Rattus norvegicus: one gene and its partners. Each later gene encodes a partner of the first gene's protein in a complex. Links are inferred from orthologs where the notes say so. Each region holds a gene or a part of one and is shown in the gene's direction. Other genes may lie near its edges.

The links.
Region 2: Skp1 (region 1) and Fbxo11 share a complex: the UniProt entries of both Homo sapiens proteins name them as parts of the SCF(FBXO11) complex. The link is inferred for Rattus norvegicus from reciprocal best matches to the Homo sapiens genes SKP1 and FBXO11.
Region 3: the proteins of Skp1 (region 1) and Ccnf are in contact, whole or in part, in a cryo-EM structure (PDB 9CB3), measured with the Homo sapiens proteins. The link is inferred for Rattus norvegicus from reciprocal best matches to the Homo sapiens genes SKP1 and CCNF. Residues at the interface, in NP_733779.1 of Homo sapiens: Arg81, Asp83, Gly98, Phe101, Ile104, Leu105, Asn108, Leu116, Asp117, Cys120, Lys121, Val123, Ala124, Ile127, Lys128, Pro132, Arg136, Phe139, Ile141, Asp144, Phe145, Val153, Asn157, Trp159, Cys160; in NP_001752.2 of Homo sapiens: Leu30, Thr31, Ile32, Leu35, Val39, His42, Ile43, Trp46, Leu47, Glu50, Asp51, Leu53, Ala54, Val55, Ala57, Val58, His59, Ser60, Gly86, Asn87, Ser300, Val301.
Region 4: the proteins of Skp1 (region 1) and Fbxw7 are in contact, whole or in part, in a crystal structure (PDB 2OVP), measured with the Homo sapiens proteins. The link is inferred for Rattus norvegicus from reciprocal best matches to the Homo sapiens genes SKP1 and FBXW7. Residues at the interface, in NP_733779.1 of Homo sapiens: Gln97, Leu100, Phe101, Ile104, Leu105, Asn108, Leu116, Asp117, Cys120, Lys121, Val123, Ala124, Ile127, Lys128, Gly129, Lys130, Thr131, Pro132, Ile135, Arg136, Phe139, Asn140, Ile141, Lys142, Asn143, Asp144, Phe145, Thr146, Glu149, Gln152; in NP_001336727.1 of Homo sapiens: Pro274, Phe276, Gln277, Arg278, Asp279, Phe280, Ile281, Leu283, Leu284, Pro285, Leu288, Tyr291, Val292, Leu293, Phe295, Leu296, Pro298, Lys299, Asp300, Leu302, Gln303, Ala304, Ala305, Gln306, Thr307, Cys308, Arg309, Tyr310, Trp311, Arg312.
Region 5: the proteins of Skp1 (region 1) and Fbxl5 are in contact, whole or in part, in a cryo-EM structure (PDB 6VCD), measured with the Homo sapiens proteins. The link is inferred for Rattus norvegicus from reciprocal best matches to the Homo sapiens genes SKP1 and FBXL5. Residues at the interface, in NP_733779.1 of Homo sapiens: Phe101, Ile104, Leu105, Asn108, Leu116, Asp117, Cys120, Lys121, Val123, Ala124, Ile127, Lys128, Gly129, Lys130, Pro132, Ile135, Arg136, Phe139, Ile141, Asp144, Phe145, Glu149, Val153, Arg154, Glu156, Asn157, Gln158, Trp159, Cys160; in NP_036293.1 of Homo sapiens: Ile205, His207, Leu208, Pro209, Val212, Ser215, Ile216, Tyr219, Leu220, Gln223, Glu224, Cys226, Arg227, Cys228, Ser229, Gln230, Val231, Ser232, Met233, Trp235, Ser236, Lys240, Trp245, Arg315, Leu316, Gly319, Leu320, Asn323, Val324, Tyr327.
Region 6: Skp1 (region 1) and Trim21 share a complex: the UniProt entries of both Homo sapiens proteins name them as parts of the SCF(SKP2)-like complex. The link is inferred for Rattus norvegicus from reciprocal best matches to the Homo sapiens genes SKP1 and TRIM21.
Region 7: the proteins of Skp1 (region 1) and Fbxl3 are in contact, whole or in part, in a crystal structure (PDB 4I6J), measured with the Homo sapiens proteins. The link is inferred for Rattus norvegicus from reciprocal best matches to the Homo sapiens genes SKP1 and FBXL3. Residues at the interface, in NP_733779.1 of Homo sapiens: Gln97, Leu100, Phe101, Ile104, Leu105, Asn108, Leu116, Asp117, Cys120, Lys121, Val123, Ala124, Ile127, Lys128, Gly129, Lys130, Pro132, Ile135, Arg136, Phe139, Ile141, Lys142, Asn143, Asp144, Phe145, Thr146, Glu149, Glu150, Val153, Arg154; in NP_036290.1 of Homo sapiens: Asp35, Trp36, Gly37, Leu39, Leu40, Ile43, Gln46, Val47, Tyr50, Leu51, Leu53, Leu54, Asp55, Ala57, His58, Ala59, Ser60, Gln61, Val62, Cys63, Arg64, Trp66, Asn67, Phe70, Glu82, Lys92, Ala93, Thr94, His95, Glu97.

The regions. Positions count from the first base shown.
Region 1 is NC_086028.1:36,901,408-36,905,707, forward strand, and holds the start of Skp1 (S-phase kinase-associated protein 1), read left to right. Parts: upstream 1-1,500; 5' UTR 1,501-1,583; intron 1,584-1,621; exon of another isoform or gene 1,622-2,062; coding exon of another isoform or gene 2,063-2,068; intron 2,069-4,300. UniProt on the Homo sapiens protein: Essential component of the SCF (SKP1-CUL1-F-box protein) ubiquitin ligase complex, which mediates the ubiquitination of proteins involved in cell cycle progression, signal transduction and transcription.
Region 2 is NC_086024.1:12,290,598-12,294,741, forward strand, and holds the start of Fbxo11 (F-box only protein 11), read left to right. Parts: upstream 1-1,344; 5' UTR 1,345-1,345; coding exon of another isoform or gene 1,346-1,362; coding exon 1,363-1,470; intron 1,471-1,574; coding exon 1,575-1,656; intron 1,657-2,673; coding exon 2,674-2,818; intron 2,819-4,144. UniProt on the Homo sapiens protein: Substrate recognition component of a SCF (SKP1-CUL1-F-box protein) E3 ubiquitin-protein ligase complex which mediates the ubiquitination and subsequent proteasomal degradation of target proteins, such as DTL/CDT2, BCL6, SNAI1 and PRDM1/BLIMP1.
Region 3 is NC_086028.1:13,770,170-13,773,669, reverse strand, and holds part of Ccnf (cyclin-F), read left to right. Parts: intron 1-110; coding exon 111-188; intron 189-264; exon of another isoform or gene 265-320; coding exon of another isoform or gene 321-461; intron 462-2,295; coding exon 2,296-2,447; intron 2,448-3,500. UniProt on the Homo sapiens protein: Substrate recognition component of a SCF (SKP1-CUL1-F-box protein) E3 ubiquitin-protein ligase complex which mediates the ubiquitination and subsequent proteasomal degradation of target proteins.
Region 4 is NC_086020.1:172,534,738-172,538,237, forward strand, and holds part of Fbxw7 (F-box/WD repeat-containing protein 7), read left to right. Parts: intron 1-350; 5' UTR 351-419; coding exon 420-938; intron 939-3,500. UniProt on the Homo sapiens protein: Substrate recognition component of a SCF (SKP1-CUL1-F-box protein) E3 ubiquitin-protein ligase complex which mediates the ubiquitination and subsequent proteasomal degradation of target proteins.
Region 5 is NC_086032.1:71,542,099-71,545,598, forward strand, and holds part of Fbxl5 (F-box/LRR-repeat protein 5), read left to right. Parts: intron 1-1,615; coding exon 1,616-1,764; intron 1,765-2,626; coding exon 2,627-2,709; intron 2,710-3,500.
Region 6 is NC_086019.1:166,396,572-166,400,827, reverse strand, and holds the start of Trim21 (E3 ubiquitin-protein ligase TRIM21), read left to right. Parts: upstream 1-1,456; 5' UTR 1,457-1,519; intron 1,520-4,256. UniProt on the Homo sapiens protein: E3 ubiquitin-protein ligase whose activity is dependent on E2 enzymes, UBE2D1, UBE2D2, UBE2E1 and UBE2E2.
Region 7 is NC_086033.1:86,338,588-86,342,539, reverse strand, and holds the start of Fbxl3 (F-box/LRR-repeat protein 3), read left to right. Parts: upstream 1-1,152; 5' UTR 1,153-1,301; intron 1,302-1,346; exon of another isoform or gene 1,347-1,480; intron 1,481-1,739; exon of another isoform or gene 1,740-1,836; intron 1,837-3,952. UniProt on the Homo sapiens protein: Substrate-recognition component of the SCF(FBXL3) E3 ubiquitin ligase complex involved in circadian rhythm function. Plays a key role in the maintenance of both the speed and the robustness of the circadian clock oscillation.

The DNA.
Region 1 (4,300 bases):
TTCATCTTCTGTCATCAGCTGTGGCACCTGGCAGACATTGGATACCACAGCCATCAGACAAAGACCTGGTCATTCAAGCCATTGCTTGGCCTCTCTGCCCAGACTTGTCCTGGAGAAACTGTAGGCTCTGGTTTCTTTAGGAGGCCCTGTGTGGAAACGTCTTTTGTCTTTGTGGTGCCAGGAATACCATCATGTGCTCATTGGCTAGGTGAGCCTGGCGCCTTGGTGGGGATAGTGATGCTCCCTAGACACAGCGGGGCAGGGCAGGCAAGTGCCCAGTTCCTGGCTGGGCTGAGGCCAGATGGGTCCTTTCAGACCTCTCCCTTTACTTCAAAGTTGTTTCATTCTAGCGACCTTATCACAGCCTTCTGTGAGCTGCCCATACAGCATAGTCTGTTCAGGTTGGGCTGACTGTCCTGGTTCACTACTGGATGGATTCCCAGCGCGGGCCTCACAGGCCTCACACACAGGCAGAGAGCATGATTACCCGAAGAATATACCCTCCATTCCACATCCCTGTTTTCTCTCTCCAGGCTTGGCGCTTCACTCCAACAATGGCTATTTGGGGTGTGAAAGCCTCTTCAAAGTTCAAAGGTAGGAAATAAAGGTTAAGATTATCCAACAAGGTGGTGCCTGCCTCCCAGCGCTGAGCTATTGGAAACACAGATCTGAATTTAAAGCCAGCCTGGTCTAAATAGCGAGTTCCAAACCTGGTTTATCTAGTAAGACCCTGTTTCAAAACAAAACAAAACAAAACAAAAAGAGTATAAGGCGAGTATATGTGGTGAAAAAAAAAAGCCGGTAATCTCACGAGTTTTAGACCAACCTGGTCTACGCAATGAATTTGCAGTCACTCTGTGCCAAACGAGACCCCGTCTTAAAATGCAAAGAAAATAAAAACTAAGCAGGTGCACCAAGTCAGGAGTATTTAGAGACACCTTGACTCAACATCCGTAATTTTTTAAAGCTCAGTTATCAGTGGAGTAAGGTTCAAGTCCTTAATTCCAGGTCGGAAAAAAAAAAAAAAAACCAAACAAACCAAAAACCCTTATTTCCTTGGGTTATTAGGAGAGTAACAGTGGTCAGGCTGAGGTGACTCCTTTAAAGCACACCCACCCACAACCGGTTTTGCGGTTTGTTCTTTCCAGGCTTTTCAGGACTGGGGTCTTTCAAGCAGTTTAAGACAGCCTCTGCCTGAAAGACCCTTCGGGTCGCGATGGTTCCCCAGCCGGTGCCGGCGTCCGCACGGAAGGAGAGCACGGCGTTGTTCAGGACGGCGGAGTAAAGTGGAAGTCCCCCTCCTGCTCAGCCACCCTTCCACCCATCGCCGCTCAGCACCTCTCCAGGAGACCTCTGCGGCGCCCAGAACCTGCCACCCGCCTTCCGCATGCCGTCAGGCACTCTCAACGGCCAGCCCGGCCGGCTGTGTGACGTCACGAACTCGGGGTCCTCGGTGCCCTCTTCCCGCTCCTATAAAAGCTGACGCCGCGCGGCGCTGCTGTAGTGGCCTTGTTCTCGAGACTTCTATTCGGTTGTGAACTCTGTTCGGCAGCCTCAGGCCTGCGGTCTTGAGACCGAGCACGGTGAGTAGCAGCCCGCGAGCCGGACCAGGTCCTGGAGGGAGGGGCTGGGTGGGAGCCCCGGGTTGGCTGTGGCGTGCACGAGGCGGCGAGTCGGCCTGGCGTGTCCTGAGGCGCTGTGCGGCCCGTTGCCGACCCCGGACCGCGGGAGGCGCGAGGCGGCCGAGTCAGGCCTTCTAGGGCCGCCCATCCTTTCGGCGCTCGCTCGCTGCTGTATCCAGCTCTGTGGCAGGCCTGCTCTTTTGCGGGCGACGTCAGTCGGCCCCGAACGCGGCTGCAAGGCCTAGGCTTCGTCCCGGGCCTGCCTTAGCGACAGGCTTGTTGCTCCGCGCTCCAGGGCGGGTTGGCCGCAAGGCTTTGAGTAGGGGTCCCGGGCCTTCCGGGTGGTGGCGGTCGTTGCCACTCGATACTTAGCTCTCTCCCTTCCTCCTGTATCTGGCGACATTTGCTCCTTACTGGTCTTACCTATTTAACCACCGAATATGCAGGTAACAGGTTCCCGATATTTCTTCGCTTTTTTTTTTTTTTTTGTCACGTCCTGCAGTCTCTGAACTTATTGTAATAGACCTTGTCGTCTGAGGTGTGTGACTTTTAGGAGCCCTTGACGCTAAAACCCAAGGTGTTGGGTTTTTAAGGGATAGTGTTAAAACATGCCTCTTGGCTCACTTTTTCATGGAGTCCTCAGGTTTGGAGACTCAGTTTTTCATCAGAATGTTACAGTAGACTGTGTTGTGGCAAAGAACAATGCACTCCCTTCTGCCCTGCAGTCCAGTAACAAGTGGCAGAATTTCGAGTCACTTAAAACAGGTTTGTTTTTAAAGTCTGTTTTAAGTGTACTAGAATTCTCATGCTAGACTTGGATGGTGGTTTAGTTTCCAAGTCCAGGAGCTTAGAGAACTAAAGAAGGGTTTTTTGAAAGCATATCAAATCGAAATCTCATACATTATTACTTAAAAATTTTGCACTTAATTCCACCACAACAAAAGTGAAGTCTAGGATTACAGAGTGCATTGAATTACAGATTAACTGATTGCCTCCCTGGCTCTCTTGCAAGTAACCTGATACCTAAATTTGACTATGACTAAGCATGTCTTTATTGTGAATTATTTCAAGGAAATATGGAATTGTCTTTTAAAATAACTTTATTAGCCACATAGACTTGTTCCTGAGTGATCATTACAGTGCTGGGGACCATAAAGAGAACATAGTGTTTTGCTATTAAAAGCTGGTCTCTTTAACTTTTATTGTTGCCTTATAAGGAGGGTCTGCTGCTCTGGGCTTCTCTGTTCTGCAGCATATTTGTGAGTTGAAAAGTGAACTCTTGAGTCTTTTCAACCATGGATGATTGTGAAACAAGCTTTATCCCCCCCCCCCCCCCAATTATTGTTTACTTGAGGAATGGGGACAAGTGTCTCAGAAAGCTGAATGAATATTTTAGGAGATACGCCGAGTCTTAAGTGTTTGACCCTTAAATAGGTACAATAGTTATTTTAAGTGCTAACCCTATAACACCCAGGTATTCCTCAGAAGCATAAGACCTGCAGAGTTACATGTGAGTTGGGGATTTTGGTGCCCACCTTTTTTTTTTCTTTTTTCTTTTTTCTTTTTTTCGGAGCTGGGGACCGAACCCAGGGCCTTGCACTCGATAGGCAAGCGCTCTACCGCTGAGCTAAATCCCCAACCCCAGGTGCCCACCTTTAATCCCAGCACTGGAGGCAGAGGCAGGTTGATGGCTGAGTTCAAAACCAGTCCTTGCTACAGAGCAAGTTGCAGGACAGCTAGGGCAACACAGAGGAACCCTGTCTCAAAAACAAACTACTAAAAAAAGTTGCTTATGAAATTTTTTTTTTCTTTTTTTTTTTTGGAGCTGGGGACCGAACCCAGGGCCTTGCGGTTGCTAGGCAAGCGCTCTACCACTGAGCTAAATCCCCAACCCCATGAAATTTTAAAGAGGTCTTGAATTACTCTTTTGGAGTAATGAGGGGGAAATCTGAAGATGATAAATTGCTGGTTTAGAGCTTTTAGTATTAATACTGGTTTGCTTTTGTTTGGTTTTGGTTTTTCCTAAAACTCAAGTCATGTTAGGAGCTAGTTGCTTAATTTTTTTAATATATGAAATTATATTTTTCCTAATGACTTATATTTTATCTCAGTTGATGCATTTTTGGATGGGGGGGTTGTTGAGATCAGTTTTTGAGACAGGGGCAAGAAAACTAGGCTAGCCTTAAATTTATTTTGTATGTATCAAGAAGATGGCCATGAACTCCTAATGCTTCTGTTTGCCAAAATGCTGGGATTGTGGAAATACTTATACTCTGTCTCACCTTTTGGGCAGAGGGAGAGGGCAATATTGCAGATTGAACTAGAGCTTTATACATGTTAGGCATTACACTCAGGAGCTGTATCCCCAGCCTCTTTTATATTTCATTTTAAGCAGGCTCTTAATGAGTTCCACCAAGGCTGGCTTGACCTCATTATGTAACCTAGTCAGTCCTTGAAATTATGATCCTCATCTTTCCAAAAACTGGACTTCACAGGACTGGTTCCTCTGTATATCCCTGACAGTTCTGGAACTCACTGTGTACACTGGCCTTGAACTCACAAAGATGCACCTGTACCTTGACTCCCACGTGCTGGAATTAAAGGCATACAGTATTACCATGCTATTTTAAATTTATATTTGTTTGAGACAGATTCTTATGTAACCCAGACTGGACTTG
Region 2 (4,144 bases), on another chromosome or scaffold:
CTCTACTCTTGGTGTCCAGATTTCATGTACTGGGGTGGCTGAAGGCGGGAGTGTTCTCACGGGAGCCACAGGTTGTGTGTAGTCTTGCTCATCTCGTCAAGTCCTGTTACAGAACAGCTGTGCTCTCCAGCTTTGCTATTCTTCATAATGGATTCATTGCTCTCCATCTTTGTCAGGAATTTCGTGGAAATTCTGTTGTGCTGTCTGTCGGGTGGTGCAGTTTTAGTCTGTCATTATTGATGTGAACGATGAGCTCCTATCGGGGTTGGCATTTATTGTTCTCCTAATCTGTGGGCAGATAACAATTGCCTGACTTCCAGTGGGTTACAGTTTGCCAGTTTGTGGCTTGTTATTTGATGCACTAGCTTAGTTTTGCCTTTTTAAGCTCACTTCCATCCATCCATCCCTCTCTACCTACCTACCTATCATCCACTATCTACCTACCTACCCACCTACCTACCGATCGATTGATCGATTGATCAATTAATCACACCTTTTTTTTTTCTGCCCCCAAGATATTCTAGGCTCATTTTGTACTTTCCTGCCCTACTACCCTGGGAACCACCATTTCTCCAACAAGTATGAAACTTTCCTTTTATAGAAAATGTTATTCAGAAAGCAAGATCCGACTACTAGCCATGCTCAACTATTTTGGGAAGCCTTGTGTTAAATGTGGGGAGAGCTTCTGCTGATGAGCACCCGTTCTGCACATCTCAATGTTCACACCTGTGTTCCTTCTATGGCTGGGACTTCACACTTTATGCCTCTAAATCCAGGCTCAACAGCAAAGGTTTTACTGGTGCTTTTTTTTTTTTTTTTTAATTTACAGCTGTTTTCTTGAACAGAAATCCAGGTTCCATTGCCCTGTGTACTTTCTGACTCATTTTACTCTGTTGTGTACCTGTCTCTGCTCTCACCTCAGCTGTGTGAGGCTCTTTCTGCTCTGCCCGAGGCCACTCCCTTTCCCTCCCTGCTGTGAATCTCTTTCATGCTCTAAATCTCTAGCACCATCTGGCAGGCCACCCTCTACCCGTTCACTTTTCCCTGACTGCTGTCTGGTACACAGAACTGAGCCGTCCCTCTCCCTCCACTTGGCCTTGCAGTGGGACAGCCTGCCTGCTCAGCTTGAGCTGCTCTGACCCGCTCTTCTCGTCAACACCTCTTCACCTCTTCCCACACCCCCTTTCTTTTCTTAAACTTTTTTCCAAGCTCTACAAGATATGGAATGTCTGTCAGATAGTCATCCGGTTGGCTGGAATTCCGTACAAAATTATGTTGTTCCTTCTCTTGCTGAATTTGAGATTTTAGTAAAAAGATGGATACCGTTTTCTTTCATCTTTGACAGATGATGTTCCTGCAGATATGGTTGCAGAAGAATCAGGTCCTGGTGCACAAAACAGTCCATACCAGCTTCGTAGAAAAACTCTTTTGCCAAAAAGAACAGCGTGTCCTACAAAGAACAGCATGGAGGTGACTTAATTGTAATTGTTTTTGTAAGGAAAGAATGGGTCAAAATTTGTGAGAATTATATACAGTGGGAATACTTGACTGACAGTTTCTTCTTGGTTTTGAAGGGCGCCTCTACTTCAACTACAGAAAACTTCGGCCATCGAGCGAAGCGGGCAAGAGTGTCTGGGAAGTCACAAGATCTGTCAGGTACTCCGAGAGGGAAGTAAAGTGAGACGCGTTTCAAAAGTTCATGTTTGAGCCTAGCATAGTAACACATGCCTTCAATCCTGGTATTCAGGAGGCAGAGGCAGGGGATTTCTGAGTTCAAGGTCATCCTGGTCTAGAGAGTATCGGGACAGATAGACAGGGCTTTATAGAGATGATGGTGATGATGATGGTGGCGGTAAGTGAAACTGAAAATTAAATATTATTTGAATATATTGAGTAGTTACTATTAAAAAATACATCAGAACCCTAATCCTTCCCTCTTTAACGTTTTTTAAAATGTATCTTTAATTTTAGTTATGTGTGTGTGTGCTTCTGTGAGGAGATTGTTGTACTTACCTAAATAGCTAGAAGGAGGGCATTCGATTTCCTGGAGCAGGATTTGCAGATGTGGTGAGCTTCAGGTTAGAGGTGCTGAGAACCAAAAAATGGGTCCTCTGCAAGACCAGTACAAACTTAAATGTTGAGCTATCTCTCCAGCCTGTCTTATTTTTATATAAAAGTTTTTTTTAATAGTGCTATGGTGTAGCCATAACACTAGCTAGCTACTTGGGAGGTAAAGGGCTGGGAGCTGGAAAATGAAGTTAAAGAGTAGTGAATTTAAGACCGACCTAGGAAGCTTCGAAAGACTGCCTAAACACAAAACAAACAAAAACAGCTAACACTGTGCATGCGTGTGTGCACATGCTTGTATGTACATATATGTAAGATAAAAGGGAAATACAGGACTGGAAGATGGCTCAGTGGTTAGGAACACTGCTCTTCCCGAGGTCCTGAGTTCAATTCCCAGCAACCACACGGTGGCTCACAACCATCTGTAATGAGATCTGATGCCCTCTTCTGCTGTGTCTGAAGACAGCTACAGTGTACTCATGTACACAAAATAAATAAAATCTTTTTTTTTTAAAAAGGAAATATATCAGTAAAGGCATATGCTGTTTGTTGGTGAGGAAGTCGTTGCTGGTAAATGACTTGTTATGTTCTGTTAATCTCTTTCAGCAGCACCCGCTGAACAGTATCTTCAGGAGAAGCTACCAGATGAAGTAGTTTTAAAAATATTCTCTTATTTGCTGGAACAAGATCTTTGTAGAGCTGCTTGTGTGTGTAAACGCTTCAGTGAACTTGCTAATGATCCAATTTTGTGGTGAGTGAAACCTACTCCTTGTTACCTTGAAGGATGCTGTGTGATGCCAAAACTGCCAGGGAAGGAAGTGGACGTGCGGGCTTCTAGTTATAACAAAGTAATTAAAAGAAAATTAAAATGCTTATAAATTCTGTTGCCTGGTTATCGTAAATGTGGAGAACTTGTTGATCCAAGAAATATTATAAATCAGGAATTATTTCTTTGTTTACAAGTTCATAACAAGCAAGTGATTTGGAAGGGAGTCTTTATGTATGGAGTCGGGTAGAGTACCGCAGACAGAATCTTCTACAGCACAGGGTGGCCGCAGAATGACTACGTAGCTGAGGCTGCCCTTACACTGCCCTCCTGTTTCAGCCTGGGATGCCATTGTATGTCACCACTCCCAACTCATTTTCTTTTTACATTTGGTTTTTGTTTTTATGAAGCAGCATTGGGTTTAACAAACACATCAGTATAGACTTAATGTGTCAGTGTAGAGATGCCCAGAAGTAGGATGTGCCAGGAGCATGGGTGTGACTTTACCAAAGAAGAGGCCGGTGATGCAAGGGTTAGTACAGGCTTCTCCAGGCAGTGCCGCCTCCTGTTTAAAAGCAGAGCTAGTTGGATATGGTAGCTCACACCTGGAATCATCCATCCCTAGCAGAGGGATGCAGAGTTTAAAGCCAGCTTGGCCTACAGAGAGAGTTGCAGGTCAGCCTGGGCTACAGAGTGAGACCACACACTGTGTGTGGTGAGAGTTGGTTTCTGGGCTGGAGAGGATGGTCACTGGTTAAGAACACTGTTCTCACAGTTTGTTCTCAGGACAACCAGTTGTAGGGTTCCAGTATCTTTTCAAGTCTCTGCAGGCACAGCACATATGTAGTGCATATAGATGCAGGCAAAACACACATACTTGGCTGGAGAGATGGCTCAGTGGTTAAGAGCACTGACTGCTCTTCTAGAGGTCCTGAGTTCAATTCCCAGCAACCACATGGTGGCTCACAACAATCTGTAATGGGATCTGATGCCTCTTCTGGTGTGTCTGAGGACAGCCACAGTGTACTCACATACATAAAATAAATTATAAAAAAACCACATACTTTTCTTTTTAACTTTTAAACTTTTTATTGTTTGTTTGAGGCAGGGTTTTTCTGTGTGTAGCCCAGGCTGTCCTGAAACTTCACTCTGTAGACGTAGTGGGCCTAGGGTCTGGATCTGCCTGCCTCTGCCTTCTGAGTGCTGGGATTAAAGACATGTGCCACCACTGCCCACCTTTTTAAAATTAGTCATTTTAAGAAATATTTCGACAGCTGGGTATAGTGCCACACACCTTTACTCCCAGTACTT
Region 3 (3,500 bases), about 23 Mb from region 1:
CCAGTGCAGCTCAGGAGTGTGGGAATAGATAATTAGAAACCCATGGGGCAGTTCTGAGTGCCTCTCAGAACACAGCCGTCCGTGTAAGGATAACTTTCTCTTGTTGACAGATGTCTGACCCCGGACGATGCCTCCACAGCTTCCGGAAACTCAGGGACTACGCCGCCAAGGGCTGCTGGGAAGCACAGGTGACTTTGAGCTCTGGACTCTTTCCTCTGAACTGTGGGGCAGGACTGCCTAGGCTCTGCACAGGAAACGTAGAGAAGCTCAGGTCCAGGCCTGGAGCTGAGTCTTTTCATTTTAATTTCTTACTTATTTACATGTGTGTGATTGTCTGTATGTGTATCATGTGCATGCAATGCCGGTGGAGACCAGAAAAGGGCCTTGGATCTCCTGGAACTGGAGTTGTGAGCCACCTGATGTGGCTGCCGGGAATTGAACCTGGGTCATCTGTGAGATCAGTAAGCTTTCCTAAACTTCTAAGCCATCTCTGACCCCTGGAGCCAGTAATAACTCAAACACTAGGAAAGAAACTGAAAGTCAACAGATGGTGCAGGCTGGTCTTCGTCACAGAACATTGTGTTCATGTCGAAGAAGAATGTCGGAGGTTTACAAAAAATGGCTCAACATTTGCCACCAAGCCCGATGACCAGAGTTTGATCCGCAAGAGACATATGGCTGAGTCCCCAAAGTTGTCCTCTGACTGCCACATGCACATCACACACGTCACTCACACACACACACACACACACACACACACACACACACACACAGAGAGAGAGAGAGAGAGAGAGAGAGAGAGAGAGAGAGAGAGAGAGAGTCTTAGAGTAACTGTTGCTGTGAGGAAACACCAACACCATGACCAAATCAGGTTGGGGAGGAAAGGGTTTATTTGACTACCCTTCCATGCCTTAGTTCATCATTGAAGGAAGTCAGAAACTCAAACAGGTCAGGAACCTGGAGAGGCAGGAGCCGATGCAGAGGCCATGGAGGGGTGCTGCTTACTGGCTTGCTCCTCATGGCTTGCTCAGCCTGTTTTCTTGTAGATCCTAGGACCACAATGGGCTGGGCTCTCCCCCATCAATCACTGATTAAGACAATGCCTAAAGAATTGGTTTTTCAGCCTGTGGATCTATGGCCGACCTCTATCTCCAGAAACATTTGCATTGCGATTCATAACAGATTCTCAGAAAAGAGGAAATAAATGCAGCAAGTTAAAAAAAGATAACATTTGCCAAATACAGGGGCTTAATCCTTGTCTTCAAGACGCTGAGGCAGGAGGTTTATGAATCTGGAGCTACAGTTTTAAATGAGCTATTGGGGACTTGTGTGATTAATGTGTTCTATTTGATTTTTTTTTTCTGTTTTTTAGTCCGTAATGAGTAGCATCTGTTTTATTTGTTTTTTAATGTATGTGGGTGTTTGCCTGCATATACATTCCTTGTGCCTCGTTGGTATCTGAGAGGCCAGAAGAGGGTGTCAAATCTCTTGGAACTGGAGTTACAGACAGTGAACTACCATGTAGGAATTGAATCCCGGCCTAGTGAGCCATCTCTCTAACCCAAGACATTTTTAGTGACGATAGTTCCTGTTTGTCTCGAGTGACGTGTGAGCGCGAGCCTCAGAGAGAGTCCTTGGATCGGTGCAGACAAAAGTCCACAGCTGTTCTGTGGACTCAGCAGGGAGGGACTGAACGGTCACAGGATGCTCAAAAGACAGAAACACTCCAAATGGAGACACTAGTAATGTTGCCGTGTGGGGAAAGAAAGATGCTGGGTCATAAATACACATACACACCAAGCTACAGTTACCTAGGAAGACACAGATGGAGCCTAAAAGTTGTTGACAGTGACTAACGGAAGTCTCCGTGGGTGCTGGGCAGCGTCTCCTGAGTGCTGACATGTTTCAGTCCACCCTCAACAGGACCATCGAAGCACCATTTAGTAACAGAAAACTTGGAGCTGGAGAGATGCTCCGTGGTTAAGAGCTCTGGCTGCTCTCCGAGAGGACCTGCCGCCATTTCCCAGCAGCCACATGGTTACTCAAAATCACCTGTAACTCCAGTTCTAGGAACCCGACACTTTACTCTGCCCTCCTTGGGCACCAGACATGCCCGTGGGGCAGACATACGCGTATGTCTCAAAACACTCATATACATAAAGATGATAAAGATGTTTTTATTTATTTGTTCAGTTTAAAAGTAAGTCCTAGCAATCTGAGCCATGCTGCTATGAGGCTCAGGCGGGCGGAGGTGTGCCGTGCCAGGACTTACACTGCACTTGTCTCTCCCCACAGCTGGCTTTGGCCAAAGCCTGCGCAGGAGGAAGCCAGCTTGGACTAGAAGGGAAGGCCTGCAGTGAGTCAGTCTGCCAGCTCTTCCAAGCCTCCCAGGCCGTCAACAAGCAGCAGATATTCTCTGTGCAGAAGGGGCTCAGTGACACCATGAGGTGAGGCCTTCAAGAGCTTGCGTTTGATGTGGCGGAGCAAAACCTATGTCTCCTGTCTCCGGCAACACGCCATTCCTTTACCAACTTACTCTGTGAGCATGTGCGCTGCTTAGGACTTCAATGAAGACACTAATTCTGCCCCACATCCAATGATAATTTTTTTTTTTTTACTCTCCCCCATTTCCATGCGTATTTATATAGGGTGCGTATGTGTGTACATGCACGTGTGAACCAAACTTGATGTCACAATCTTCCATTGCTCTACCATATTCCATAAGGCAGAGTCTCTCCGACAAACCTGGGCTTACCTCACAGTTAGCACCAGCTAGCTGCATTGCTCTGGGAATCCCACCCCAGCCTCGGCAGCTGGACTTACCATCTGGTCACCGCACACACCTGGCGTATTCGTGGGTTCTGGATCCAGTGGTCATGCTCACTCAGCAAATACTTAACCATCTTCCCAGTCCTGCTGTAGCCCAGGCTGGCCCTGAGTTTCTGGCTATTCTACTCTAGCCTCCTGTTGTTCTGGGGGTATTGGTGTAAGCCACCAAAGTCTTTTTTTTTTTTTTTTTTTTTTTAAGATTTTATTTATTTATTATATATAAGTACACTATAACCAGAAGAGGGCATCAGATCTCTTTACAGATGGTTGTGAGCCACCATGTGGTTGCTGGGAATTGAACTCAGGACCTCTGGAAGAGCAGTCGGTGCTCTTAACCGCTGAGCCATCTCTCCAGCCCCCACCAAAGTCTTTAAAGCCCAGGAGCGGGTTAAATTGTTCTAAACATTGTTTCGAAATGATGAGACTCATACCTCTAGTTTCTGAAACTGAAATACAACTATTTTGAATAGAGGAGGGCCTGGATTTTGAGCCCAGCACCTTATTCGTGAGGAATAACCTTTTCTTTACAGTTCTCTTTATAATCAGTATATTTTGTGCCACTCAGTGACTAGAGCGAGACTTAGGGAGCTGGCGAGCCCCTTCCTACCCCCATCCCAGCCATCCCATCCTTTGGGGTAGCTACTGTGATACCCAGCACAACTGTCTTTCTT
Region 4 (3,500 bases), on another chromosome or scaffold:
TGTTTGTTTGCTTGCATATGTTTAGTATTCAGTGAATGATTTATTCAGGATGTGGTTTCTGAATTAATGATTTAAAATTTAAAATTGTTTTATTGGCTAAGTTATGTCTTATTGATCAAAACAACTAAACCATCAAGCTTTTAGAGGTTTACGGAAAAAGGTAGTTAAAGGTCTTCAGTATGATTCTTTTTTTGTTTTATAACTTATTTAATCTAAAACTTATTTGTTACTAACGAGTGTGTGAATGCTTTCCACGATCTTAATTATACTTAGACTATAGGCATATGACACAAAAGTGGACAACAACAAAGATGGTACAAATCTTGTTTATCCCCCTTTTCCTCCTACAGAATGTGAAAATCTTTGCATCTTCTGATAGTCTAGCCAAGGTCCAAGAAGTAGCAAGCTGGCTTTTGGAAATGAATCAGGAACTGCTCTCTGTGGGCAGCAAAAGACGACGAACTGGAGGCTCTCTGAGAGGGAATGCTTCCTCAAGCCAGGTTGATGAGGAGCAGATGAATCGCGTGGTTGAGGAGGACCCACAGCAGCAGCCGAGACATCAGGAGGAGGAGCACACTGCGCGGAATGGTGAACTTGTGGGTGCAGACCCTAGGCCTGGAGCCCAGAACGATTCCCAGCAAGGACAAGTGGAAGAAAATAATAACCGCTTTGTTTCAGTAGATGAGGACTCTTCGGGAAACCAGGAAGAGCAGGAGGAAGATGAAGAACATGCTGGGGAACAGGAGGAGGAGGAGGAAGAAGAGGAGGAAGAGGAGGAGGAGGAGGAGATGGACCAGGAGAGTGATGATTTTGACCAGTCTGATGACAGTAGCAGGGAAGATGAACATACTCACAATAGCAATGTCACAAACTGCACTAGTGTCGTGGACCTGCCCATCAACCAGCTCTCCTCCCCATTCTATACCAAGACAACAAAGGTGAGTATCTTCATTCCCCTCCACCGGATATGCTCCCTCACTATTTCAGTCATAGTGACCTCATCCTTACAGTCTGTAGTGCGGCCACTAGTCCTCACATGTAGAGCACTTCATTAATGATGTGAAGGCTCCAGTGTTATAAATAGAGATACTGATAAGAAGGCAACTTAATTGCAAAACGGGGTGGTGGTGGTGGTGGTGGTGGTGGTGGTGATGGAGGTGGTGATGGAGGTGGTGGTGGTGGTGGAGGTGGTGGTGGTGGTGGTGGTGGTGGTGGTGATGGAGGTTGTGGTGGTGGTGATGGAGGAGGAGATTGATGTTGTTTACCACAAAAAACCAAATCACCAGCTTCCGGTTTGCTGCCAGAGTGGTTTGGGTGAGTGTGCAGGGTTGGTGTGAAACATGACGTGTGTAAATAAAGTAATGAATTTTATTTGCAAAATAGCTAATGTATCACTGGCTGTGTTTTCACAAGAGTTAACCTAAAGTGTAAATCAGTGGAAGTCACAGCAACTAAGTCTGCTGTGTTTTCAGAAGTTAGATGTGGCTTGTGGGTGCCAAGTAGAATAGCCTTGTGTTAACCTGTTGTAGGGATTGTGTTTAAGTAATAGGTGACTTGTTTTACACACATAGAAATGGTCTGTAGCACACACCCCTTTACTCCTCATTTGCTGACTTTTAAATTTAACAATGAATCATTGGATTTTGCCCATAAATACCTATAAATTTAACAGTATTGCTTTTAGTGTGCTTTGACTCAGATTGTAGTGTCTCATACAATTGGCTTAAATTTCAATTTGCTTTATCAGTTTTGTTTTAGGTTGTTAAAAAAAAAAACGATGACAGAGAGCATGTCCATCTCTAATTTTCATGCCCGGCACATGACTTTACTTACTGGTTGGCATGACCTCAGAGAGCATGTCTATGTCTAATTTTCATGCCGGGCACATGACTTTACTTACGGGTTGGCGTGACCTAGGAAGGAAATGTCATCGGGTGTGGTTTTCTCTCACTGAACTCTCAAGGTAGAGGATCTTGGTCTGGACTAACTCTTAGTGTCTCACCCCCGTTCTTTTCATCTCCATAGCAGCAATTTAGAAAATCCTCTAGCACCTGGAGGGCAGGGCAGGAAGATCATGAATTCAAGGCAGAAGACATTGCCTCAACTACTCAAAAGATGGTTTTAAAGTTTCCTGTATTGTATTAAGAAGACTTCACATGCCCAGCTCTAGTAATAGGAGAAATTTGTACTGATTCCTTTTGGAGACCCTTACATCTTTGATCACTATAAAAACAAAATGTACAGTGTCCTGGGCTGCAGTTTGGTTTCAGTCCTTTGAAAGGAGCAGGGACTGAGATGAAAACCCTGGCTTAGAGTCAGGTGTGGTGGCACACAAGTCTCAACCCGGGGCAGGAAGGTTGTTGCAGATTTCAGGCCGGCCTGGGCTGTCTGGTGAATGTGAGTCAGGGATAGGCTGTTCAGAAGACTTGAAAGGAAGAAAACACCTTCCACTTTCTCAGTGCTTCCTCAGCGTGTCTATATCCATGTAGACAGACGTCTCCATGAGCCTTGACGGCAGCCAGACTTAATGTGTCATTCCCCAGTATTTCTACATCACCGAGGAAAAGCGTGTTGTCTACAGAACATAGCGGACACTGTCGAACTAAGGACAATCTGCTCCCCTTGGTCACTGAGCTTCCCTTTTTGCAAATGTAGAGAAGATAGCATGTTTTGATTAGAGAAGTGGGCGGGCACCCTTAAGTGGTGAGTGGGAACAGTGGCCAGTGTGTTAAGGGAGACTTTATACTAGTTTTTAGCATTTCTGAACTCCTGACAGGTTTTTGAGGTGCTTTCTGTGTAGGTGATTGGCAGACCTGTTTGGGTTAACTCTTAGTTGTAGGGAACAGTCTCTGTTCTTTGTAAGAAAGGCGTGTTTCCTCTTGAGAACAAAGACTACCCCAATCCCATTAAGTTTTGTTCTTAAGGGAACATACAGTAAACAGTATAGATTATATTAGATACTAGATAAACAGATTCTAAATTCTAATATTAAAGGTCAAGGCTAATGGTAGTTGATATTGCTGTTTATTAAATACAAACCGTTTGCACATTCCTGAAATAGATAAGTGAACAGGTTATAGAGAGCCAGTGGTTCACTCCACACCACCCTTTGTTTAGATTTTTTTTCTATTTTTTCCTCCCTCCCTCCCTCCCTCCCTCCCTCCCTCCCTCCCTCCCTCCCTCCCTTCTTTCTTTCTTTCTTTTTCTTTCTTTCTCTTTCTTTCTTTCTTTCTTTCTTTCTTTCTTTCTTTCTTTCTTTCTTTCTTTCTTTCTTTTTCTTTCTTTTTCTTTCTTTCTCTTTCTTTCTTTCTTTCTTTCTTTCTTTCTTTCTTTCTTTTCCTTCCTTTCCTTCCTCTTTCTTTCTTTCTTTCTTTCTTTCTTTCTTTCTTTCTTTCTTTCTTTTTCTTGGAGCTGGGGACCGAACCCAGGGCCTTGTGCTTTCTAGGCAAGCGCTCTATCACTGAGCTAAATCCTCAACCCCTATTTTTCTTTTCTTGAGA
Region 5 (3,500 bases), on another chromosome or scaffold:
GTGATTGAGGGGTATTTCAGTTAGTCAGTTTATTGAGTCGTCTATAGTTGAGAGATGGGAGACAGGATGATGTAAAGTCATGGTACTTGCCTCCAGCCTGTGATAGAGCCTACAGGTGATGTGTGTAAGTGAGAGACTTTGGGTGGGAGTAGCTTATAGCATTTGTATAACATGTGTAAAGCCCTGGGTTTAGTCTCCCACACTATAAAAGATAATTCATACATGAAAGTTAATTGTGTTGCACAGTTTTGGTCCACCCAAAGTACAATATGAGGGATGGTCTGGGAATGGATAAAATTTATCCCTACTGTTAAATAAATAGAGGTACGGTAGAACTTAGACTACGTAATGTCTTTGTTTGAGGTACATAATTAGAATTGCTGTAATAGAGATTCACAGTGATGTTTGAAAGTATAGGGGAGGAAGACAGATTGTGTCTTTGATGTTACTTTAGGTAATTTTAAAAAGATCCTACAATAGTGAAAATTTATAGATGAGAAATCTTAAGAAGTTTCTGTTCATAAAGCTATGATAAGCTGGTCTGATGGAAGAGCTGTATGTGTAGGAAATAACTACAATGATTATTGCTTTGTTAGTGAGAGTGTTTTGGGCTTTATGAATTGAAGAGGACCCATTTTGGTATAGTTTTAGGAGTTTGGAAATTCGTTTAATAAGACAGACTAATTTAGTTAGCCTCAGTCATATGCTTTTCTGTGGCAGGCAGTAGAATGTAACTGTAGTTGGTTTTAAGTAAATAAAGCATACTCAGACAGGGAGGGCCACGGAGAAAAGAATGAATTATGAATAAAAATGTAGTGTAATAAATAATGTTTGCTGAAGTGCTTTTTAGTGATACACATATTGTCTAAGTAAAAGAAGAATTTGAGGTATTTATAAAATATTCAAAGTTGGTAAAATATTTAGTAATTACTCTTCACATAGTTTTCTTTTAACCACTATATGCAATTTTATTTTAAATAAATCTTCAACATATTAAGCTGCTTTATGGTTCAAGACATTCAAGTTAGGTGTTTAGGTAAGTATAGTAAAGATAGAATCTTGAAAAGTGAAACATATTTTAGGCCTACATACAGTGTGTTTTCTTTTTATTAAATTGGAATTGTAAGAAAAGTTCTTTTCCTTAATTTTGGGGCTTGAACTCAGGTCTTCACCCATCCTATAAAAACAGTCTTCTGACAGGCTAATCCTGTGGTTTTTTGTTTGCTGTTAGAGAAGTATCTTGTTATATCCAAGCTCTATAAAAATTACTAAGTGCAAAAGGCCATGCTTCTGTTTAACTTCTTACGAGCTAAGGTGTCTTCATAATGATAAGGTTAATGGAGTTGTTTCACATCTAGCTGTGTCTTTTTTAATTAGGTAGAATAACTGATGTTACTTTTAAAAAAAGCCAAAAATTTGTAGATCATTTAATTCCTTCTCTTGAATAAGTTTTACAGTTCTTTGACTATTCAGAACTTTTTCTTGTTTCCAGAAAGTGAATGGTTTGCAAAAGTGAGGATAGTATAGAGTTTCATATTTAGTATTTTGATGCATCCTTTTGGTGGCCTACTTATAATTGGTGTATAGTTCTTAGATGTTTGAATTCATTTTACAGAAGAGTCTGCAGAGGAATCGGTTGCTATCAGCATTGCACAAATGGAAAAACGTTTACTCCATGGCTTAATTCATAATGTTCTGCCATATGTTGGTACCTCTGTAAAAACTTTAGTGTTAGCATACAGCTCTGCAGTCTCCAGCAAAATGGTATGTACAAATGAACCCTAGCTTGAGCATTAAGAAAAATAGCAGTCAGACAACTTTGGTTTGCTTATTAATGCTTATTTAAGAAGGAGAATCGAGTGTCTTCCCATGGATAGGAATGCACTGTTTGTTTTCATATCATTTCATTTCTTAGGGTACTGTAGCGTAGGAACCTTGCCTGTGTCATACATAAGGGAACTAAAACTAGTCAGCTAAGCATTTACGTGAATTTGTAGATGTTATGTGTTGAGTTTACTTCTATATGGTTGATTATAACATGTAAGGCATGGCAAGATGCACAAGTGAGATGAACTAGTTTTATAAAATTATGACTTCCTACATGCAATCTCCTTGAGTATTCCTTTAAGAGGGTGATTTTTCTGGGTCTAATTTCTAAGAATCTTTAAGACAATTACTAGAATTGTGGGCCCAAGAATTGGAGAGGTAAAAGGCACATTTGGTAAAGTGCCTTTTGTGCAAGCATAAGAACCTGAGTTTGCATCCCCAGAATGTAGATGTGTGTACAGTGGCATGTGTCTGTAACCACGGTGCTGGCGGCCAGGGGAAATGGGGGCAGAGGCAGCAGATTCCTGGTACTCATTGTGCAACTACACCAGCAGAACCTAGAGTTCAGTAAGAGATGGTGTCTCAGAAAATTAGATGGAGGAAGACACACTGGATTAACTTCTGGCATCCACACACACCACACCAGAATGTAACTATTTTAATGTGTTCTTTGAGTGATTTTTTTTCTTTCAGTATGCATGTATAGGAAAAACCAGTGTATTATAGTTATCATTGTCTGTTACTTGTCTAACTGAAGTTTCTCCACAGGTCCTCACAATGGCTTTCCTTTCCTTTTTAGGTTAGGCAGATTTTAGAGCTTTGTCCTAATCTGGAACATCTGGATCTTACCCAGACTGACATTTCCGATTCTGCATTTGACAGGTTATTTATTTTAAATATCTAAATATAATAAATAAAATAAAACAAAACTAGCAAAATTTGCCTATTTTCATGTTTACATAATTGTTATTTACTACTCCTACTCTGTGTTGCTGCTGAATCCCTGCCATATATGGTGGTAACTTAATAGAATCCTCCCAAGTCTTTTCCTTTGTTTACAGGCCCAGAACATCAGTACTGCCATCTGTATGTCTCACCTAGGCTTACTAAGCTTGCTTTATAATTGCTGTGTAGATCAGTATTACTATTCTCAAGGTTTTATTTCAGTTTTTCAGTGTCTTTTGGCAGAACTCCCTTTTCATTTAATTCATTGTTTTTTGGTTCAGTACCAGTCTGTTCAAACCAGGTAATTGATTCTTCCTTAGAGACCACTAGGTTTCTTATTATTTTAGTTCCCCTTTCTTCACAGTTCTGACATACCCTATTTCAGAGGGAAGACAGGGTCTTTACCTGTCTCCAGTGTTCATTTCTTTTTTATTTTCATTATGCTGTAGCAGCTCTTTTATGTGTGTGCTACCTCCCCTCCAAGTGCTTACTTTTAGTACAGGAAACGAAGTCTTTCCTATCCATTTCTTTCTTTTCCACCCCCCCCCCTTTTTTTTTTTGGTTTTTTTTTTCGGAGCTGGGGACCGAACCCAGGGCCTTTCGCTTCCTAGGCAAGCGCTCTAACCACTGAGCTAAATCCCCAGCCCCTCCACCCCCCCTTTTTAAATGACTTGCCTTAGGTTTTTTTTTTTTTTTTCCTTCTTTTTATTTCCAGCACTTAAAATATT
Region 6 (4,256 bases), on another chromosome or scaffold:
CCCATTGGTCCTTTCCTGTTCCCAGCTGTCCTCCTTCTACTTCTGTATCTTTGGGGCTTCTTAGGTCACTAAGTTAGAAATGAGTAAAGAATGCTTTTCCTGTCCTGGACAGAGTGGACTTGGGTACCACTGAGACAACTTGGGTTACTGAAACACATTCAAGTTAGTAAAGCCTGACTAAAACCCAAAGCATAAATATCTCACTTCACCAAAACACTGATAATGTACTAGACAGTCCTATCAATGACATTAACTCTTCCCAAATAAATACTTGAGTCATTTCGCCCAGGGGAAGGAGGGTTGAGATATCAAAGTACTAGCTGAGAGTGAAGGAGATTTTGTTCTTCAGGAGTTTGGGTCTTCAGATAATTACCAAGGTGGGAGCTGAGGCAGCTATGAGTATATTACATTGGTCATCCTGTGTGCACATTATAGAGTATTTATCACCACAACCCTAGGGTGTGTATTAATCTCTCTATCCAGTGTGTAAACTGAAACAGATAAGGCGTCATCTAGTGGTAAATAGAAAAATAGACATTGACTCTACCACTACCTTATTTTGGGACCCAAGTTCTTTGCCTGCAGGAAATAGCGACAGATCTTCAGTGGTGTGAAGCAGAATCATTTTCTGATGTTTGCAGATGCCTTTGTCCTTTCAGATGCTTGACTCTGTTTTTCATTCTGCTTCCTGGAGCTGTTGTGTTCCTGGAATCAAGTCCCAATACAACAGCACAATCTAGACAGTAGATGTCGCCTGGTGACCTTTTACTGAGAAGGATCTCTTAAACAGGGCTGGAAATTTCAAAGCACGGAATGCTTTTATTTCCTAAATATGATAAATGGCAAGGAAAATTCACCTGATGGTTTTAGCGCAAATTATAATACAATCAATGTCCACAAGTCTCCCTTCATTGCTACAACACATACCCTAACATCATTAGGAATAAATTTCTCACCCTAGACTATTTGAAAAGAGGGGAGCAAAACGAGAAGACAGAGGGATGGGAAATGGGCATATGTCAAGCATACTGTGCAATTAATATATGTTAACAAAAACAGTGCCAGGATCTTTCACCCGGATTTTAAAGAACTATCAGTCTTGTGGGAAGATCCCTCTAGAAAAGATAGTAACTCCTCTCCCATCCAGACCTCTTCTCCCAGATGCTCCCAGGTTTGAAGTAAAGACCAGTGTCAAAGGTCGATATCCTGTAGATTACAGTCTGTTAAAGGTGACAAGGAGGCCTTAGAGAGACTGCACCCAAGAAGACATTAACTGAGTTTTCCTTTGCCTGTGGCCTGAAGTCAGTTTCTGGCACCTCTGACCACTCTCCTCCCACTCTCTGCCCAGTCTCCGCCCTATCTGCCTCCAAGGCTTGCCAGTCAACTCCCTGTTCCTCCCCTTGCTCCTCCCTCTTCCTTCTAAGCTTACCTCTGAGAGGAAACTGAAAGTGAAATTAGACTGCGGGCTTGCAAAAGTGAAGCTGAAAACAGCCTAGCCAAGTCTGAGGACCCTGGTAAGGTGAGTGAGGATGGGACCCCTGGCCAGACTAGATGGGCTCCCCCCACCCCACCCCAATGCCACAGATTCAAGGAGCCGCTTCCCACTAGCGCCCTACACACGGAATTTCCTAGCCCACCTGCTGCTTCTCTTCAGCGGAGTTCTCTAGTCCCAACCCTGCCAGGCTGCCCGTGCTTCCCTGTGAAAGCTGGTCTCTGAAATTGACTTTCCTAGTGCCATGAGCAGGAGAAGCAGGGCGGTGACCTAGTCCGGGAGGGAGAGGGGAGGGGGGAACTCGGGGAAACCCCAGCCCCTTGAAGACCCTCGATTGAGGAGAGTGCTAGCCACTTAGAAATTTCAGTGGGTTTAAGATACTCAGCACCCTAAAGGAAGTTGAGAGAAGTACTAGGCTTGGAGGAGCTTAGAGAAGAGCCCAGGGAGTGCTCCCCACAAATGTCAATAGATGAGCATACATACATATTCTGTACATAGACATTTAGATAGAGGAACGTATGGGCATGCCTACATTGATGCATTTGTGCTCAAGTGTAGCTTACAATGGAACATATCAGGGTAAATAAAGACATCAATTTGTGTGTGTGTGTGTGTGTGTGTGTGTGTGTGTGTGTGTGTCTGACACACACACACACACACACAAGCCTAATAACTGGGAAATATACTCTTAGATGATGTACTCAGGATAATGAATGCACATCTTGAAGTTTTTTTATTGGATTTTTTTTTATTTTTATTTCAAATGTTATCTCTTTCCTGTTTTCTCTTCCATAAACCCCCTATTCCACCTCCCCTCCCCCTTCTTCTATGATGGTGTTCCCCCGCCCACCCCTTACCACCCGCCTGCCCAGACATTTCCTACACTGTGATGTCAATTCTTGGCAGGACCAAGGGCTTCCCCTCCCATTGGTGCCCCAAAAGGCCATCCTCTGCTACTTATGCAGCTAGAGCAATGGGTCTGTCCATGTGTACTCTTTGGGTGGTGGTTTAGTCCCTGGGAGCTCTGGTTGGTTGATATTGTTCTTCCTATGGGGTTGCAAGCCCCTTCAGCTCCTTCCATCCTTTCTCTAACTCCTCCAAAGGGGACCCCACTCTCAGTTCAATGGTTGGCTGTGAGCATCTGCCTCTGTATTTGTCATGCTCTGGCAGAGCCTCTCAGGAGACAGCTATTTCAGGTTCCTGTCAGCATGCACTTCTTGGCATCAGCAATATTGTCTAGGGTTGGTAGCTGTATGTATATATGGTCTGGATGCCCAGGTGGGGCAGTCTCTGGATGGCCTTTCCTTCAGTCTCTGCTCCAAACTTTGTCTATATATTTCCTCCTATTAATATTTGTGTTCCTTCTTCTAAGAAGGACTGAAGCATCTGCACTTTGGTCGTCCTTCTTGAGCTTAATGTGATCTGTGGATTGTATCTTAGGTAACCCAAGGTTTGGGCTAATATCCACTTATCAATGACTGCATACCATGTATGTTTTTACTGATTGACTTACCTCATTCAGGATGATATTTTCTAGTCCAATCTATTTGCCTATGAATTTCATGAAGTCATTGTTTTTGATAGCTGAGTAGTATTCCATTGTGTAGATGTACCACATTTTCTGTATCCATTCCTCTGTTGAAGGGCATCTGGGTTCTTTCCAGCTTCAGGCTGTTATAAATAAGGCCGCTATGAACATAATGAAGCATGTGTCCTTGTTATATGTTGAAAAATCTTTTGGGTGTATACCCAGGAGTGGTATAGCTGGGTCCTCAGGTAGTACTATGACAGTTTTCTGAGGAACCTCCAGACTGATTTCCAAAATGGTTGTAATAGCTTGAAATCTCACCAACAATGGAAGAGTGTTCCTCTTTCTCCACATCCTCGCCAGCATCTATTGTCACCTGAGTTTTTGATCTTAGCCATTCTGACTGGTGTGAGATGTAATCTCAGGGTTGTTTTGATTTGCATTTCCCTGATGACTAAGGATGTTGAACATTTCTTTAGGTGCTTCTCAGCCATTTGGTATTCCTCAGTTGAGAATTCTTTGTTTAGCTCTGAACCCCATTTTTGATAGGGTTATGTGGTTCGCTAGAGTCTCACTACTTGAGTTCTTTGTATATATTGAATATTAGCCCTCTATCAGATGTAGGATTGGTAAAGATCTTTCCCAATCTGTTGGTTGCCATTTTGTCCTAATGACAGTGTCCTTTGCCTTACAGAAGCTTTGCAGTTTTATGAGGTCGCATTTGTTGATTCTTGATCTTAGAGCATAAGCCATTGGTGTTTTGTTCAGGAAATTTTTTCCAGTGCCCATGTGTTCGAGACTCTTCCCCACTTTTTCTTCTCTTAGTTTGCGTGCATCTTATTTTATGTGGAGGTTCCTGGTTCACTTGGACTTGAGCTTTGTACAGGGCAATAAGAGTGGATCAATTTGTGTTCTTCTACATGAGGACCTCCAGTTGAACCAGCATCATTTGCTGAAAATGCTATCTTTTTTCCATTGGATGGTTTTGGTTCCTTTGTCAAAAATCAAGTGCCCATAGGTGTGTGGGTTCATTTCTGGGTCTTCAATTCTATTCCACTGGTCTATCTGTCTGTCTCTGTACCAATACCATATACTTTTTATCACCATTGCTCTGTAATACTGCTTGAGGTCAGGGATGGTGATTCCCCCTGAAGTCCTTTTATTGTTGAGGATAGTTTTTGCTATCCTGGGTCTTTTGTTATTCCAAATGAATTTGCAAATTGTTCTGTCTAACTC
Region 7 (3,952 bases), on another chromosome or scaffold:
AACTGGCCCGAGTTCAGTCACGGCACTCAGGACGAGCACCTCACACCTGTCTGCACGTAATTCCAGCTACAGGGAATATCCAACATCCATTTCAGACCCCACAGGCACTACACTCGTGTGCCCCCCCCACACACACACACCTATAACAAAATGAAAATAAAGCTTATAAAACTACTAATAAATTTAAAACATACATGAAAAGCCTTTTAAAGTTCAGCATGTTTTTACTGGCTATGACTGCACATTTCTTCAATCTCAGGATTGGTCAGGCAGAGTTTGATGGATCTGAGTTCCAAGCCAGTCAGGGGTACAAAGTGAAACTCGGTATAAAGAAATGGGAGGAGGAGGGTAGGAGACAGAAGAGAGAGGAGGTTGGAAGGAGAGAAGAGCTATTTACTCTGGAAAAATAACACAGAGCAGAAGGCACAGTATACAGCCAACCTTAAGATTTTCTGTGAACTTTTCTTATTTTAAGAAAATTCGGCATCTCCAAGTCCAAACTTCTAAAAACAAGTCAAATAGGTAGCATCTAAAAGACGCCTTGACTTACAAAACGCTGCGCCAGGGGTCTTCGTTTAATTAGCTATCCTCTTCTTTACACTTTTCCCTATGTGGTTCAGAAAAGAAATCTCAGACTTCGGGGTTCTATTTCATAAGTAAATAGTGGTTATGAAAAAGTTATGACTCATTAAAAAAAGCCTTGGAAAAACGGAAATGCAAATGCAAATGCAGTCTTAAGAAATCAGTCGCGATCGAAACGTTAACCACGTTGGTTTATTATTTTTTTTCCGGTGTGCAGACAGCACCTTTGGCCGCGCCCTCTTCGCGGAGGTGGGTCGCTGTCAGCTGATGTTTACGTCCGGTAGGGGTGGGTCGGGTTTTGCAGACACTCCTCTCTCTTCCGCGTCGGCTCCACCGCCCTAAACTTTCCGGGTTTAACCCTGGGAAAGGCCTGGCGCTCCTAGTTAACTCCAACCCGCCCACATTCCGCCCCTAAACAAACTTCTCCAGGGACAGTCCCCGAGACTGGAGCCGCCCGGGCGCGCGCGCGCGCCCAGCCCCCTCGGCCGCGCGCCCGGGCGGGCGGAGACGCGCAGAGGCCAGCGCGCGGCCGCGAGCCCCGGGCGCCATCTTGGATTCTGTAACTGGGCCGAGGCTCGGGGCTCGCTGCTGTTGGCTGCTGTTGGCCGCTGCTCGCCGAGGGCGTCTCGGGCGGCGACGAGGAGGTGCCGGGGCGAAGGACGCAGACTGCGCGGGACAGAGAAAGGAAGCTTTCCGCCCGGGCAGCCGGAGCCGCAAAGGTGGAGCCGCGTCGGCGCCCGCCGCGGGACCAGCGTCTCGGATGCGGGCGGAGCGCGGGGGGCCGCGACGGCGGGAGCGCGGAGACGGGGCCCCGGGAGGCCTCATGTGAGAGCCGCGGGAGCCGCCGCCGCCCGCGCAGCCCGGGGTGGTGTGTGGGGGAAGCCGCCCCCGGCAGCAGGTACGGCGGAGGTTCGGGGCCGCAGCCCGGAGTCCGGCGGGGAGGTCGGCGGCGGCCGGGGGCGCGCGCGGGAACGCCCCGCCTGGACCTCAGTACTTGTCAACAAGGCGTGGCGCGCGCTCGGCGGCCGCGTGTGGCGGGGCTGGGTGACGGGCTCCTCTGGGCTCGCCCTCGGCGGCGCGGGGGCAGGAAGCTGGAAAGCCCGGGGGCCTGGGCAGGGCGGAGGGAAAAGTCTGAGAAAACCGGGTTGGGGAGGCGCCCAGTGGAAAACTTGGCGAACTTAAGTGCAGCCGCTCTGGTCGCACTGCAGACCTCCACCCGGAAGCAGCCAGGTCAGGGCATCTCCGAGCCGCGAGGTGAGAGCGGGCGGCGTCTTGTTGGTATTGGTGCCTATCCCACTTGCCCAGATGTTTTATCTTTTGCTTACACGAAAAGGCTAATTTTAAAATTTTCCCTGAACCCTTTGTAAAGATGTCTGTTACTCTAAAACTCTCACCCGGGTTATCTGTGTGCCGGCTGCCGTTTGTGTCTGTGCTCTCACCATTCTGACAGTTAATCTCTTTCAATATTTTTCGATTCTTATATTACAACCAAAGAATGTATGTTAGGTTTCCTTCCATGTAAAGCAAAACAAAAGGACAAATGCGAACGTAGTGCCAGAATGGGACTTTTAAAGTTTAAGTGCAAATGCGTTTTTTAAAAATCTTTTTATGTCCAGAATTTGTAAATGTCTGAGTAAGGAAAGTTTGACTCTTCATTTTGGTTTGAGGAAATGTTTGATTAGCTCACTAATTCTTGGTACTGCTCACTAGTTACTAGGTGTCCGTCATTACTTTGCCTCCCAGACACTTGATCCGAATACTAGCAAAAGTTCCTGCCACCTTAGTTTCTTTGGGTTCCGGAAACACTGCAGTAAATCACAACCGCTAGGGCCCAGATTTTCTGTGCTTAGAAAATCTTACTGATATTTATTGTCCTGTTTTGATACACCACGCCCCTCCTGTTCAGATAGCAAGAGCACTTTCACTTCTTCTAGAAGCAGTATAAAAACCCATTACTGTAAATCTCTAGTATACTAGTGAATTGTTCAACTTTATACAGCATCGCTTCATGTGTAGATAATTAAAATAAAAGCATCGCAAACTTTGAATTAAAAAGACCAACAAGGAAAAAGCAATATTTAAAACGTTATTAGGTCTTTATTCACTAATGTTACTTTTATACCTAATAGTGCACAGCACATTTTAACATTTAGTCTGTTCATTTTCTATTACTGGTGACATTAGTTTCATACTGCTTATGATAGTCTGTAGACTTTTTAGCTGTTGATAAACTAATAAGTACTAATACATACTTTGATGATCAATGTATTCAGTTTATATTTAGATCAAGTATAACGCTATACTTGATCTTCCTTACTGAAGGTGTTTTTACGTTGTCCGACTTCCTCCTCCCAAAGGAGAGCTGGATTGAAATATACTTGATTTAGGTAGAACTGTGTTGGAAGGCAGAGGCAGTGGATCTCTGATTCCAAGGCTGGCCAGACTCACATAGTGAGCCTGTCTCACATAAAAATTGTATAAACTTAGGGTCAGCAGAGTGCTGTTAAAGTGTGGTGAGTGAGGCTGCCATCCTTGTGTTGGTTTTGAGTCTGTACACTTGACTGTAAACGAAGTGTTTGACCTTTACCTCCTGGCTTTAGAGGATTTCTCCAGATGTGGCAGAGCCTCCTGGCATGAGGTCTGGAAGTAGGAAGATAGTGTCATCTTTTTTGAATCTGTATCTCAGAATTCTGAGCAGTTTTTGTCAATAAGAAAGTTTGAGTTCTAAATAGCAGACTCTTTGTTCTTTGACCCAAATTGAAATGCTAAAATTAAAGTTAAACCTTCAGGAGAAGTTAAAGTTGGAAAGTGGGTCATAATGACAGGCTAACCCCTAGTAGGGCTTTTTTTTTTTTTAATTTTAAAAAATGGCACTGTTAATCATTCTAACTTTATTCTGAACACACTTAAAAGTCTATTCGTAGATTCATAAATAAGTTTGGTTCTTCCATAAAGCCATCTTGTCCCCTCTCATTTTGTTTTCTGAATTCTCCTTTTACTCAAGACTATGCCCTTTTGAGTGTGTGTAGGTGCAGGCACAACAAAGAAGGGGCTGCTCCTCTTTTAAGGCCTCCTGGACTGACAGTGTGGGGTTGTGCCCTCCAAAGTCCTGTTTCTGCTCTCCAGCCCTCGGTGCTAAAGTCTGTACACGTGCAAGTCCTTCATTCCACAGAGGAGCCAGAGTCTTACGTCATGATTTGTCACAAGTTGGTTGGGGTTAAGCCATCCTTTGGAGTCTTGATTGGACCAGCCTTATTAGACTCACTGTCTAAACAATCACCGTAGATCCTGGACTACATAGTAGTACCGAGGAGCGGCCCGGCTTACTCTAGAATGCAGTGTAAATCAAGTAACAAAGCAAAATGTGTCC